3 linked regions of the Sus scrofa genome follow. The protein of the gene in region 1 interacts with the protein of each later gene in a pairwise test. Links are inferred from orthologs where the notes say so. Each region holds a gene or a part of one and is shown on either strand. Other genes may lie near its edges.

What was found.
Region 2: the proteins of MS4A12 (region 1) and PLLP interact in binary tests that used the Homo sapiens proteins (3 or more experiments, as listed by UniProt). The two-hybrid records come from large-scale screens. The link is inferred for Sus scrofa from reciprocal best matches to the Homo sapiens genes MS4A12 and PLLP.
Region 3: the proteins of MS4A12 (region 1) and MALL interact in binary tests that used the Homo sapiens proteins (3 or more experiments, as listed by UniProt). The two-hybrid records come from large-scale screens. The link is inferred for Sus scrofa from reciprocal best matches to the Homo sapiens genes MS4A12 and MALL.

The regions. Positions count from the first base shown.
Region 1 is NC_010444.4:11,176,837-11,180,407, forward strand, and holds the end of MS4A12 (membrane-spanning 4-domains subfamily A member 12), read right to left. Parts: intron 1,292-3,571; coding exon 1,181-1,291; intron 995-1,180; coding exon 908-994; 3' UTR 570-907; downstream 1-569. UniProt on the Homo sapiens protein: May be involved in signal transduction as a component of a multimeric receptor complex.
Region 2 is NC_010448.4:19,220,690-19,224,340, forward strand, and holds part of PLLP (plasmolipin), read right to left. Parts: intron 1,119-3,651; coding exon 945-1,118; intron 1-944. UniProt on the Homo sapiens protein: Main component of the myelin sheath that plays an important role in myelin membrane biogenesis and myelination. Plays an essential function in apical endocytosis. Regulates epithelial development through the regulation of apical endocytosis.
Region 3 is NC_010445.4:46,284,712-46,288,362, reverse strand, and holds part of MALL (MAL-like protein), read left to right. Parts: intron 1-1,143; coding exon 1,144-1,311; intron 1,312-3,651.

The DNA.
Region 1 (3,571 bases):
CGGGCCCCAGAGTCACATCTTCGTTTTTGTTTAGCTGTTCTGCTGAGCTTTGTTGTGAGGGACACAGCCTTGCTGATCACTGGAATTGCTGGCCAGTGGGATCTAGGCATGGCCCCTATGAAGGGCAGTTGGGTATTTGCTTTCTGGACAGAAATGGGAAGGGGGAGGAGTAAGGGAATTCTAATGACTTGGGCACCCTGTAAATCATTATCAAAGAAATTTTGTCAGTCTGTTTTGCAGTATTTTGTCAGATCTACTGCTTTAAAACCAATCTCAAACAAAAAGAATTTCTTAAAAAAAAAGAAATACAAGGCTCGGAGTTCCCATCTTGGCTCGGTGGAAAAGAATCTGACTAGCATCCATGAGGATGCAGGTTCAATCTCTGGCCTTGCTCAGTAGGTTAAGGATCTGGCGTTGCTGTGAGCTGTGGTGTAGGCTGAAGATGCGGCTCAGATCCCACATTGCTATAGCTGTGGCATAGGCCAGCAGCTGCAGCTCTGATTCCACCCCTAGCCTGGGAACCACCATATGCTGTGGGTGCGGCCCTAGAAAGACAAAACAAAACAAGGTTTATGCTCCTAGTAACATTTTATTGAGGGAAGGGTAACTTTAACAGGAAATTTTCTAACTTTAAGAGAGTTGCAGAGTCATTTCCAGTCCTCCAGCCCTTCACCTTTGCCAGCACGTGGTAGTGGCATGTAGGAAGAAACACTGGTAGAGAGGTCCATAGAGTTTTCATTCATGACAAACCAAGAACAGAACCTGAAACACAGTCTTTAAAGATTAGCAATCATTGTGAACGGCGAAGACCAACTTCTTAAGAAGTTTCTGCAGAGCGGTTCTACCCCCATGAAATTGCAGGATGCTTCTTCTTCTTTTAATACCTACTGGTATTAGGTGGTGTGAGCTAAGTGGCCGGAACTGGGGGAGGAACTGAGGACAATCCTGTCGTCAAGGGACTGTTTGCATACACAGGTGGAATAACCAGGACAGACTGGAAAGAATGAATAAATCAAGTAATATTGTTACTACAATCCTACGCAGAACCCCCACCCTGGTCCTATCAGAGTTGAGGACAAAGAGCCCTCTGATAAGCCCTCAGTGGGACTTAGCTGATGCTGCAGTCTGTATTTCTCCAGCACATACTCAGACTATTTTACAGAGAAGCGGCCCAACTCACCCCACTGGTGTTGGTGATGGTGTGGCTGGCAAAATAGGCTGTGACACAAGTTATGCAGAACTCCAAGAGAGAGAAGATAATCAGCATGGCTGAAATGCCTTTTCCAGAAAGCTGAAATTGGAAATAAACACACTGAAATTTTAACTCATCAGGAGGGTCTCACCCAGGCTTCCAAGTGTTACTGACTCGTCAAACATGCTCTTGCTTGTAGTTCACTTGCTCCAGGATTATTTCTCCACTGTTTCACACATTTATTTCAGGGGAATGTGAATTAATTTTGGAATTTCTTTAAAATGTCAGAAGACCTTCCTTTTTGCCAGTGGACTGTTTTATTTAGAAACATTGGAAAGGAAGTAGATTTTTTTTTCTTTGCAGTGGCTTTCTTTTTTCTTTTTAAATAAAATCTTATCTGCTTTTTTTTTTTTTTTTAAATCAAGCAATATAGAACACAACCCATCCTTCCAAATGCCCCTGTCCGGAAATGAGCAAAATTAACATCTCAGGCCTGTTATTCTCAAACTCTATGTATGGGCAAAAGGGGAATAGAAAAATGGATGCATGGAGTGACAACAAGAGAGGAAAAATGAGAGTAAGAGAGGGTGAGAGAATGAGCAACAGAGGCAACCTCACTCTTTAAGAATAGAATCATTTTGTACTTCCTGTTTTGAAGTAAAAGTATTACTTGATTTTAACAGAATAAAAAGAAGTTAAGTCAAATTAAGTTTATAAAATCCATGAAGAATCAACATCATTTTAAACCTACAAGTTTTAATTTGAGGCAGTAGTAGACTGGTGGGAATGTAAATTGGTACAACCAATATGGAGAACAGTCTGGAGGTTCCTTAAAAAACTACAAATAGAGTTACCATATAATCCAGCAATCCCACTTCTGGTCCTTTATCCAGAGAAAACCGTAATTCAGAAAGATACGTGCACTCCAGTATTCATGGCAGAACTTTTCACAACAGCCGAGACATAGAAGCCATGTGTAATTAGCATTCATGTGTTCTCTCTCATCTTTCCTTTCATCTCTTCATGTCCCAATTTCTGTTCTTTTCACGAATCTCCTTACACACCTTCTCCCTGGCCGTTCTGAATTCTTGATTTAATTTACCTCATTTATGGTTGAATAGTACTGTTTTTTAGCAGCACTGCCCATGTGTGTTATTGTTGTTTACTAGAGTATCTTCTTGTTGCTTTTCTATTGTCACAAGGGTTTTATTGGATTATTCCTTTTTTTTTTTTTTTTTTCGGTCTTTGTAGGGCTGCACCCACTGCATATGGAGGTTCCCAGGCTGGGGGTCTAATTGGAGCTGTAGCCTCCAGCCTACACCACAGCCACAGCAATGCAGGATCCATGCAGCGTCTGCAACCACAGCTCACTGCCACGCTGGATCCTTAACCCACTGAGGGCGGCCAGGAATTGAACCTGCAACCTAACCTCATGGTTACTAGTTGGGTTTGTTAACCTGAGCCACGATGGAAACTCTTATTGGATTATTCTTTTTTTTTTTTTTTTTGTCTTTTGTCTTTTGCCTTTTTTGTTGTTGTTGTTGTTGTTGCTATTTCTTGGGCCGCTCCCGCGGCATATGGAGGTTCCCAGGCTAGGGGTCTAATCGGAGCTGTAGCCACAGGCCTACGCCAGAGCCACAGCAACGCGGGATCCGAGCCGCGTCTGCAACCTACACCACAGCTCACGGCAACGCCGGATCGTTAACCCACTGAGCAAGGGCAGGGACCGAACCCGCAACCTCATGGTTCCTAGTCGGATTCGTTAACCACTGTGCCACGACGGGAACTCCGGATTATTCTTGAATCACATTTTCTCCTCATCTAATCTTTACAGACATTTCTCCATAATTTTCTGTCATCAAATGTTGCCTTAGTAGAGACTGAGTCAAGTAGATTTTTTTTCCTGTTTGTAAGTAATTTGATTTTTCTACCTAAACCCTCAAAGAATCCTTTTCTATACTTTATGCTTTAACAAGGATACATAATGTACATACATATATATCAATATGCATCAGTATCTATAGCTCACTTATTTTGCATTTCTTTCTCCTAGTGTAAGTTATTCTCATTTAGCCTACAAATTCAGTTATTATTTCATTTTGGGGAATTTTTTCCAGTATTTCTGAATACTCTTTTGTTTTTGCTTTTAGGGTCATACCCACGGCATGTGGAGGTTCCCAGGCTAGGGGTCAAATAGGAGCTGTAGCTGCCATCCATGCGCCACAGCCACAGCAACACAGGATCTGAGCCACGTCTGTGACCTACACCACAGCTCGCGGTAATGCTGGATCCTCAACCCACTAAGTGAGGCCAGGGATCGAACCTGTGTCCTCGTGGATGCCAGTTGGATTTGTTAACCGCTGAGCTACGTCAGGAACT
Region 2 (3,651 bases), on another chromosome or scaffold:
GAGCCTCAAAGCTGTGCTAAGAGACACCAAGGCCCCTCCATCTCCGGGGCTGCCTTTCTTCAAGGCTCCTAGGACATGAGGCAGGGGCTGGACCCTGGCCAGGAAATCAGGCGTCCCCCCTCCTCACCCCAGGATCTTCGCTCCAAGCCCAGCACCCGGCGCGAATAGCACCTGGCTCCTGCCAGTGATGTCAAGATCTAACAAACCCGTTCTGTCTTAAGGATGACTCACGTTTCCTCAGCTTCAAAAGTCATTGAATTCCAAACAATGCTGCCTAGTCCCAGCCTTGCTTATCTTCCAATCACGTGCCCTCTGCTCGCAGAGAGCTCAGGCCCCAGCTGCAGGGGTTTTCCGGGTTGGAGAAAAAAGCCCCAGCAGTTTTGTGTGTCTGGCCAGGGTACTTCCTATGGACGCTCTCAGCTCTGTGTCCTCAGGGAACTGACCTGGGCAAACCCGGGGCGCCACCCTCTCCCAGGTTGCAGGGGCCTCACCTATAGGCTTAGAGGGTGGGGGAACAGCACGCTGCGCCCAGCCCGTCCTGCACACACAGACCCAGCCTTGGTGATTCCTGCCAGCTCTGACCAGCCTCCAGGCCCAGGGCTGCCCATCTGGGCTCAGCCAGAGTCAGACAGACCCACTACCACACAGGTTCAAATCCCAACTGCCCCCGCAAAGGAAGAATACTTTTCGAGATCGCACCAGCCTCCAGTCTGCATTCAACAGTCCCTCATTTCCGTTCCCTTCGTTAGAGAAAGTCAAACCTGTGTCCTCCTGGATCCACGGCTGTCAGTGCTCAGAAAAACTGGGCACTCAAACCATCAATCCTCCCTCCCCTGCCTGCCACTCTTCATTTAGGGAAGGTCACATTGTCACAGCTATGCCCAGAGGCAGAGGGGTCAGCCTGGAACCCCCACGCCCACCCCAGGGTTCCTACTCAGACTCACCACCAGCGGCCAGGGCACCATGTACAGCTTCATGTGCAGCTGAAACAGGTAGAGGATGAAGAAGACGATTGTCACCAGCCAGAGGAAGACAGCAACGAACATCACCCAGCCATAGGCCGGGTACAGGTGGTACGGGGTGTCGGCGATCAGGGCCCACACCAGCAGCCCCAGCACCTGGAGGGGGCGAGACGGGGCCAGAGTCTCCCAGAGCCCCCAGCACTCAGGCTGGAGGCCCCGGGCCAGAGGCCTCCTGGCCTTGGTCATGGGGCACCCTCAACTGGATGCGGTTACCCAAGAAATACACATTTGGCTCCTACTGCATACCACTATAGACCAAGCCCCTGCCTGGTAACGTACCCCTCTCTCAGCTCGCAGATGAGATGTCACGTGCCCCAGGGCACCTTCCCCATTTCTCCAGTCTGGGTTCCAGAACCCTCTTCTGTGCTACATGGCCCTGAGGCACCCACTGCCCAGAACTGTAATTCTCTTTCCTTCTCCAGACTGAAAGTCACACAGCCGTGCCAGCTACTCTACCTCTGCTGCCTCCAGGGTGAGACCCCTGCAGCCCCAGAGAAGGTGGTATCCCAGGCTTGCCCAGCTCTCCGAGGACAAGGACAGTGACTGTCACTCAGAGCTGTCTGTCTGCACCCAGTATAGGTGGTACCTGAGCTCAGCCGAGGGCTTAGTAAAAGCGGCTGAAAGATGAAGTCACCAGCACATCCCTAAAAGAGGACACAGTCACAGAGTCCCAGGAGTGCAGTGACCTCCGTCTGACGTTCCACCAAACCCTCTCCTCCCCACCTTCTCTGATGCCCTTTTTTGTTTTGTTTGCCTTTTGGGGCCATACCTGAGGCATATGGAGGTTCTTAGACTAGGGGTCTAATCGGAGCTGCAGCTGCCGGTCTACACCACAGCCACGCCAGATCTGAGCCGCATCTGCAACCTACACTACAGCTCACGGCAGTGCTAGATCTCTAACCCACTGAGCGAGGCCAGGAATTGGACCAGCAACCTCATGGCTCCTCGTTGGATTTGTTTCTGTTGCACCATTAAGGGAGCTCCCTGACTCTTGTTTTTGTTTCGTTTTTGTCTTTTTAGGGTCATACCTGCAGCATATGGGAGTTTCCAGGCCAGGGATCGAATCAAAGCCGTAGCTGTCAGCCTACAACTTGGACCCAAGCCGTGTCTGCAACCTACACCGCAGCTCACACGAACGCCAGATCCTTAACCCACTGATCGAGGCCAGGGATCAAACCTGCTTCCTCATCGATACTAGTCGGGCTCGTTACCACTGAGCCACAACGGGAACTCCTTCTCTGACTCTCTTACTTGCCCCCTGATCAGGTGTTACCATCCCTGTCTTACAGGTCAAACTGGGCCTCAGAGAAGCCAAGGGGCCTGTGACCCCATGGCCCCAAGAACCCTGCAGTGTGTGTAGCTGCTAGCTGCATGGACTCCACCTGATTTAAAACCCGCTCCCCTTACCAGCTGTGTGACATTGGGCACGCCTGCAATCACTCCGTGCTCTGGTCCCGTCAGCTGTCAAATGAATATACTGAGCACACCTAGCTCATGGGGCTGAGTGAGGACCCGTGGTTCACATACATAAAGGAACTACCCCAACCTCGGGGACGCTGTGCTGCAGGGAATTCCACAGGGCAGGGTGACTGACCCCCTCGTGAGGAGCTTCACGGGGAACCTGGCCAGGTGGTACCTCTCCCGGGCCTCTCCTACCCCCTCGCCGCTGGCTGAGCCAGGGCATCCTCCCTTTCCACCAGGGTCTTCATTCCCTGCAACCCCCGGGGTGGCAGCAGGCCTCCAGGCCGGCCGCTGGGAGAAGGCTCCTTGACTGATGAAAACGCAGAGAAAGCTGTCCCCCTTTTCCCGCTGGATACCATCCAGGTGTGTGGCACCAGCCCACGGATGAACCAACCATTGGATCACAGAGAATCGGCTCAGGAGCAAAACCCACCTCTGGCTGCCAGTTTTTGAGACAAAAAGTCATCGTCCCCGCTGCAGCCATAAGCTCCTAGTCCAGATGCTCCTAGTCGGACGCTCCCCCAGAGCAGCCAGAGCTGGGCGCCTGCGAGGCACCTGCCCAAGCACCCCAAGCAAGGGCCAAAGGGAGGTTTCTGCATCGCTCCCCTACACGTGTGGGGTCAGGCAGGAAAGACCCTTAGCTGAGGCGGGGAGCCTACTGGCTCCCCCACCAGCCCCTCCCTCACAACAGAGGGGGAGGGTGTGGCCACTTCTCCTTCCCCAGCACCGCCAGGAAGTGAGAGCTGGAGCCCTGGGCTTGGCAGTCAGGAGCTGGGCTTTCATCCAGCTGGAGGGATGCCAGGCCAAGGGCCGGCCCCCTCTGTGCAGCTCCCCCAGGGCAACTCTAGGCCACCCGCTAGAACACAGGCGCCCGAAGAATCTTGTTTTGGCCCTTGCTGTATCTCCAGTGCCCAGCAGTGCCTAGCACACAGTACCTGCTCGGGGCTGACCAGCCTGTTTGCTCACCCAGGAAACAGAAGTCAGACACTGGCCCTGCAGGTGCTGTGTTACAGGAGGACGCAGGTGTGAATCGGTGAACCCACTCCTGGCCCCGCTTTCCTCCACCCAGGGGTGGGCGTGGGAGACCCGGGGAGAGGAGAGCAGGGCCAGGAGCAGGTTCACTGTGGGGCCCACTCCCCTTTCCCAGGCTAGGGGTCGAAGGAGAGCT
Region 3 (3,651 bases), on another chromosome or scaffold:
ACCTGGTGGAGTTCCCTTCTTGGCTCAGCGGTTAACAAACCCAACTAGGATCCATGAGGATGAGGGTTTGATCCCTGGCCTTGCTCAGTGGGTTAGGGATCCGGTGTTGCTGTGGGCTGTGGTGTAGGTCGCAGATGCGGTTTGGATCCCGAGTTGCTATGGCTGGGGTGTAGGCCAGCAGCTACAGCTCCTATTCGACCCTTAGCTTGGGAACTTCCATATGCCTCAGGAACAGCCCTAAAATAGCAAAAACAAAAAACAAAAAAATAAAAAAACAAAAACCACCTGGTGCTCCTGGGCATGTGACCCTCCCCTCCAGGCCTCTAACTGAGGTGCTCTCTGGTGGACATTTAGTTGCTCCTCTGGACTCACCAGCATGGCTACAAGCCTAGCCCCAAAGCAAACAAATGCAGAGCCCAGAGACAACAGGAAAAAGGTTGGGTTTCTCCACCAAGGGAATAATAAATGGCTGCACAGAGTTGAGAGGTGATGAAACTGAAGCTGTACTGCCCAACTGGTAACTGACTCCAGGGCATCAGTTACCAGGAAGCTCCAAACCAAAAGTCCACAGGGCCAGACAGACACTGTCTGTGGGTGAAGGGAGGCAGAAGGAGCCACAGTGAAAGTGAGCACCAGGGAATGGGCCACGCAATGGCATTGGCATTGGGAAAGTTGGGGATATGGTCCACTGAGAACTCCAGGTCCTCTTCAAAGAGAGAGTCACAACTGCCTTCAGACTACTCTGGCCTTGGAAATGGGTTCTCTGTGGCCAGGATTATAAAGTTCCCAAGACATGTCTGAAATCTGGATTTTTCCTGTGAAATATCCTGTTTCAAATGTTGGAAACTTATTGAGAAATGTTTTTAAAACTTTATATGCCAAAGCTACTTGGGCCAAGGAGACACACATCCCCAGGCCACATTTAGCCAAGCCCTTCCATTGGCACCCTCTGTGTCGACCACTTGAATTTCCTAACAAAATTTACTCTGACTTCGAAGGCCAGCCTTCCTTCCCCATTTCCCTCTTGATTCCCACCTAACTCCGTGTGAAGAATGTTTAACCAGGGCCGGAGGACAACCTGCAAAGGGAAACGTACCCCACACCAGCCAATGAAGCCCCTTCGCCTGTGCTTTTCTCTTACAGGTATTTGGGTTCTGGGTCTGGATCCTGGTAGCCGCCACCCAGGTAGCAAATCCGCTGCTGCAAGGATGGGTGATGTACGTCTCGCTCACCTCATTCCTCATCTCCCTGATGTTCCTGTTGTCTTATGTGTTTGGATTTTACAAAAGATACGAGTCCTGGAAAATCCTGGTAAGAACCAGTGAGAGTGAGCCAGTCCCTGGGACGCCTCCCAAACTCCAGTCCTGGGTGTGCTGAGGACAGTGGACCTCCTGGATGGGGAGGGGGAAGCTGGGACCTTTCCTGGGCTGGACCCTCTCTACCCTGGCTTTTATTTGGATGCGTTTACTACCAGATGAGAAGGAGAGCCTTCCTCTGCCAGCATCCATCCTTTATGGCATTCCACTGCCTTGCTTGTGAGGGATATATGCATCCTGGCTACTCCTGGATCAAACACATCCTGAAACATTTCCCTCTAAATTTAGTTTATGATAAAATCACTGGAGCAGCATTGAAGAAAATGCTAGCAGAAAAAGAATCACCCCAGTCTCAAGGTCCTATCGCAATTGCTGGGTTCCATACTCCTGGCACATTTTTTGCAATATGTAAATATAATCACACTGAACCAATAATTTTGTTTCTTTTTTTCTTTTTTTTCTTTCTTTCTTTTTTTTTTTTTTCTTTTTAGGGCATATGGAGGTTCCCAGGCTAGGGGTCAACTCAGAGTTACAGCTGCTGGCCTACACCATAGCCACAATTGTGTTAATTTCTACTGAACAACAAAATAATTCTTTTTTAATATTCTTTTTTAATGTTATCATCCACATGGTTTATCATATGACACTGAAAATAGTTTCCTGTGCTAAACAGTAGGACCTTATTGTACACCATTTCTATATGTAATAATTTGCATCTACTAACCCCAAACTTCCATGCCCTCCCTCCCCCATCCCTCTCCCTCTTGGCAACCACAAGTCTGTTCTTGTCCATGAGTCTGTTTCTTTTTCTTATTGGGAACCTATAATTTTGGATGTAGATTCTTTGATTTTATATTGTCATTAAGTTTTTTCATGTCACCACATCATCTTGATACCCACTGAAAAATTTTCTATATTGAACAACTCAAAATGGAGGGAGGATTACATTACGGCCCCTCATAATCACAAACCAGATTCCAGTATTTTTAAGTTTTATTACACTTGCTTCACCCAGCCCTTTTTTCCCCTGAAGAATTTTATTTATTTCTTTATTTATTTTTGTCTTTTTAAGCCCGCACCCACAGCATATGGAGATTCCTAGGCTAGGGGTCGAATCAGAGCTGTAGCCACTGGCCTATGCCACAGCCACAGCCACAGCAATGCCAGATCCAAGCTGCATCTGTCACCTACACCACAGCTCACGGCAATGCCAGATCTTAACCCACTGAGCGAGGCCAGGGATCAAACCCACGTCCTCATGGATATTAGTCAGGTTCATTAATCAATGAGCCACAATGGGAACCCTTCCCCTGAAGAATTTTAAAGCAACCCCCATACATCACATCATTCCATTCTACACACATCAGCATACCTCCAAAAAAATACATTAACTTTCTTACATTATTGCACTTACATAAAGTTAATTCCCCAGTAGCATCTAAGACCAAGGTCACATTCAAGGTCCTCTGTTTTAACTGAGACATGTTTTTGCACTTGGCCTGTTTCTACACTTGGCCTCAGGTCCTCACGAGACCCGCTTCCACTTGGTAGTGATGGTTCTTGGGTACTTTAATCTAGAATGGCTCTCCCTGCCAGTTACTTGCTGAAGAAATGGGGTGGTCAGCTGTCCTGTAGAGGGGCTTACATTTGGGAGTTTATCTGTTTGCTTCTTCCTGGTGGGATCTGACTTGCTCCTCTCATGCCTGAGTTTTCTGTAAACTGAAAGTTAGCACTTAAAAGGCCAAAGTGAAGATAGGTTAAGTTTTTCTGGCAAGAATGTTTTGTAAATGGCTTTAAGTCACATCACACACCGTTACTTGTGGTCCCTCTTCCAGTGACAGCCCTACCCCATCAATTTTTTCTCTAATGCTGTCTTCCATCTACTGAGGATCTTTCTGAAAGTGAATGAATATGTCTTCAGGGGTTGCAAAATGCCGATTGGCCTATTATGATGTTCCTTCCAGAACTGATTGTATGACATTTTTGTGGCATTGAAGATATTAGCACAGAGGTTCAAAAATTGAAGTCTAGAGTCGGATTAGCCTACTCTAGCACTTGTCAGCTAATCCTCTCTTTCCTCATCGTAAACTGGGGCTATCAGTCGTAGCAGCCATATGAAATTAGCTGTGAAAATAAAATGACACAACATGTGCACATGGTTAGGACAGTACCCAGAACACAGCTGGGCTTCATAACACTAATGGTTGAGAGCACAGGTTTGGTGTTATTAATGTCACTTGGATTCAAATTCTGGCTCAGGTTTAATCACTGACCTCAACTTTGAAACTTCTTTTTCCTCAAAATGGCGCTAATGATCAATAGTACCTACCTCCTA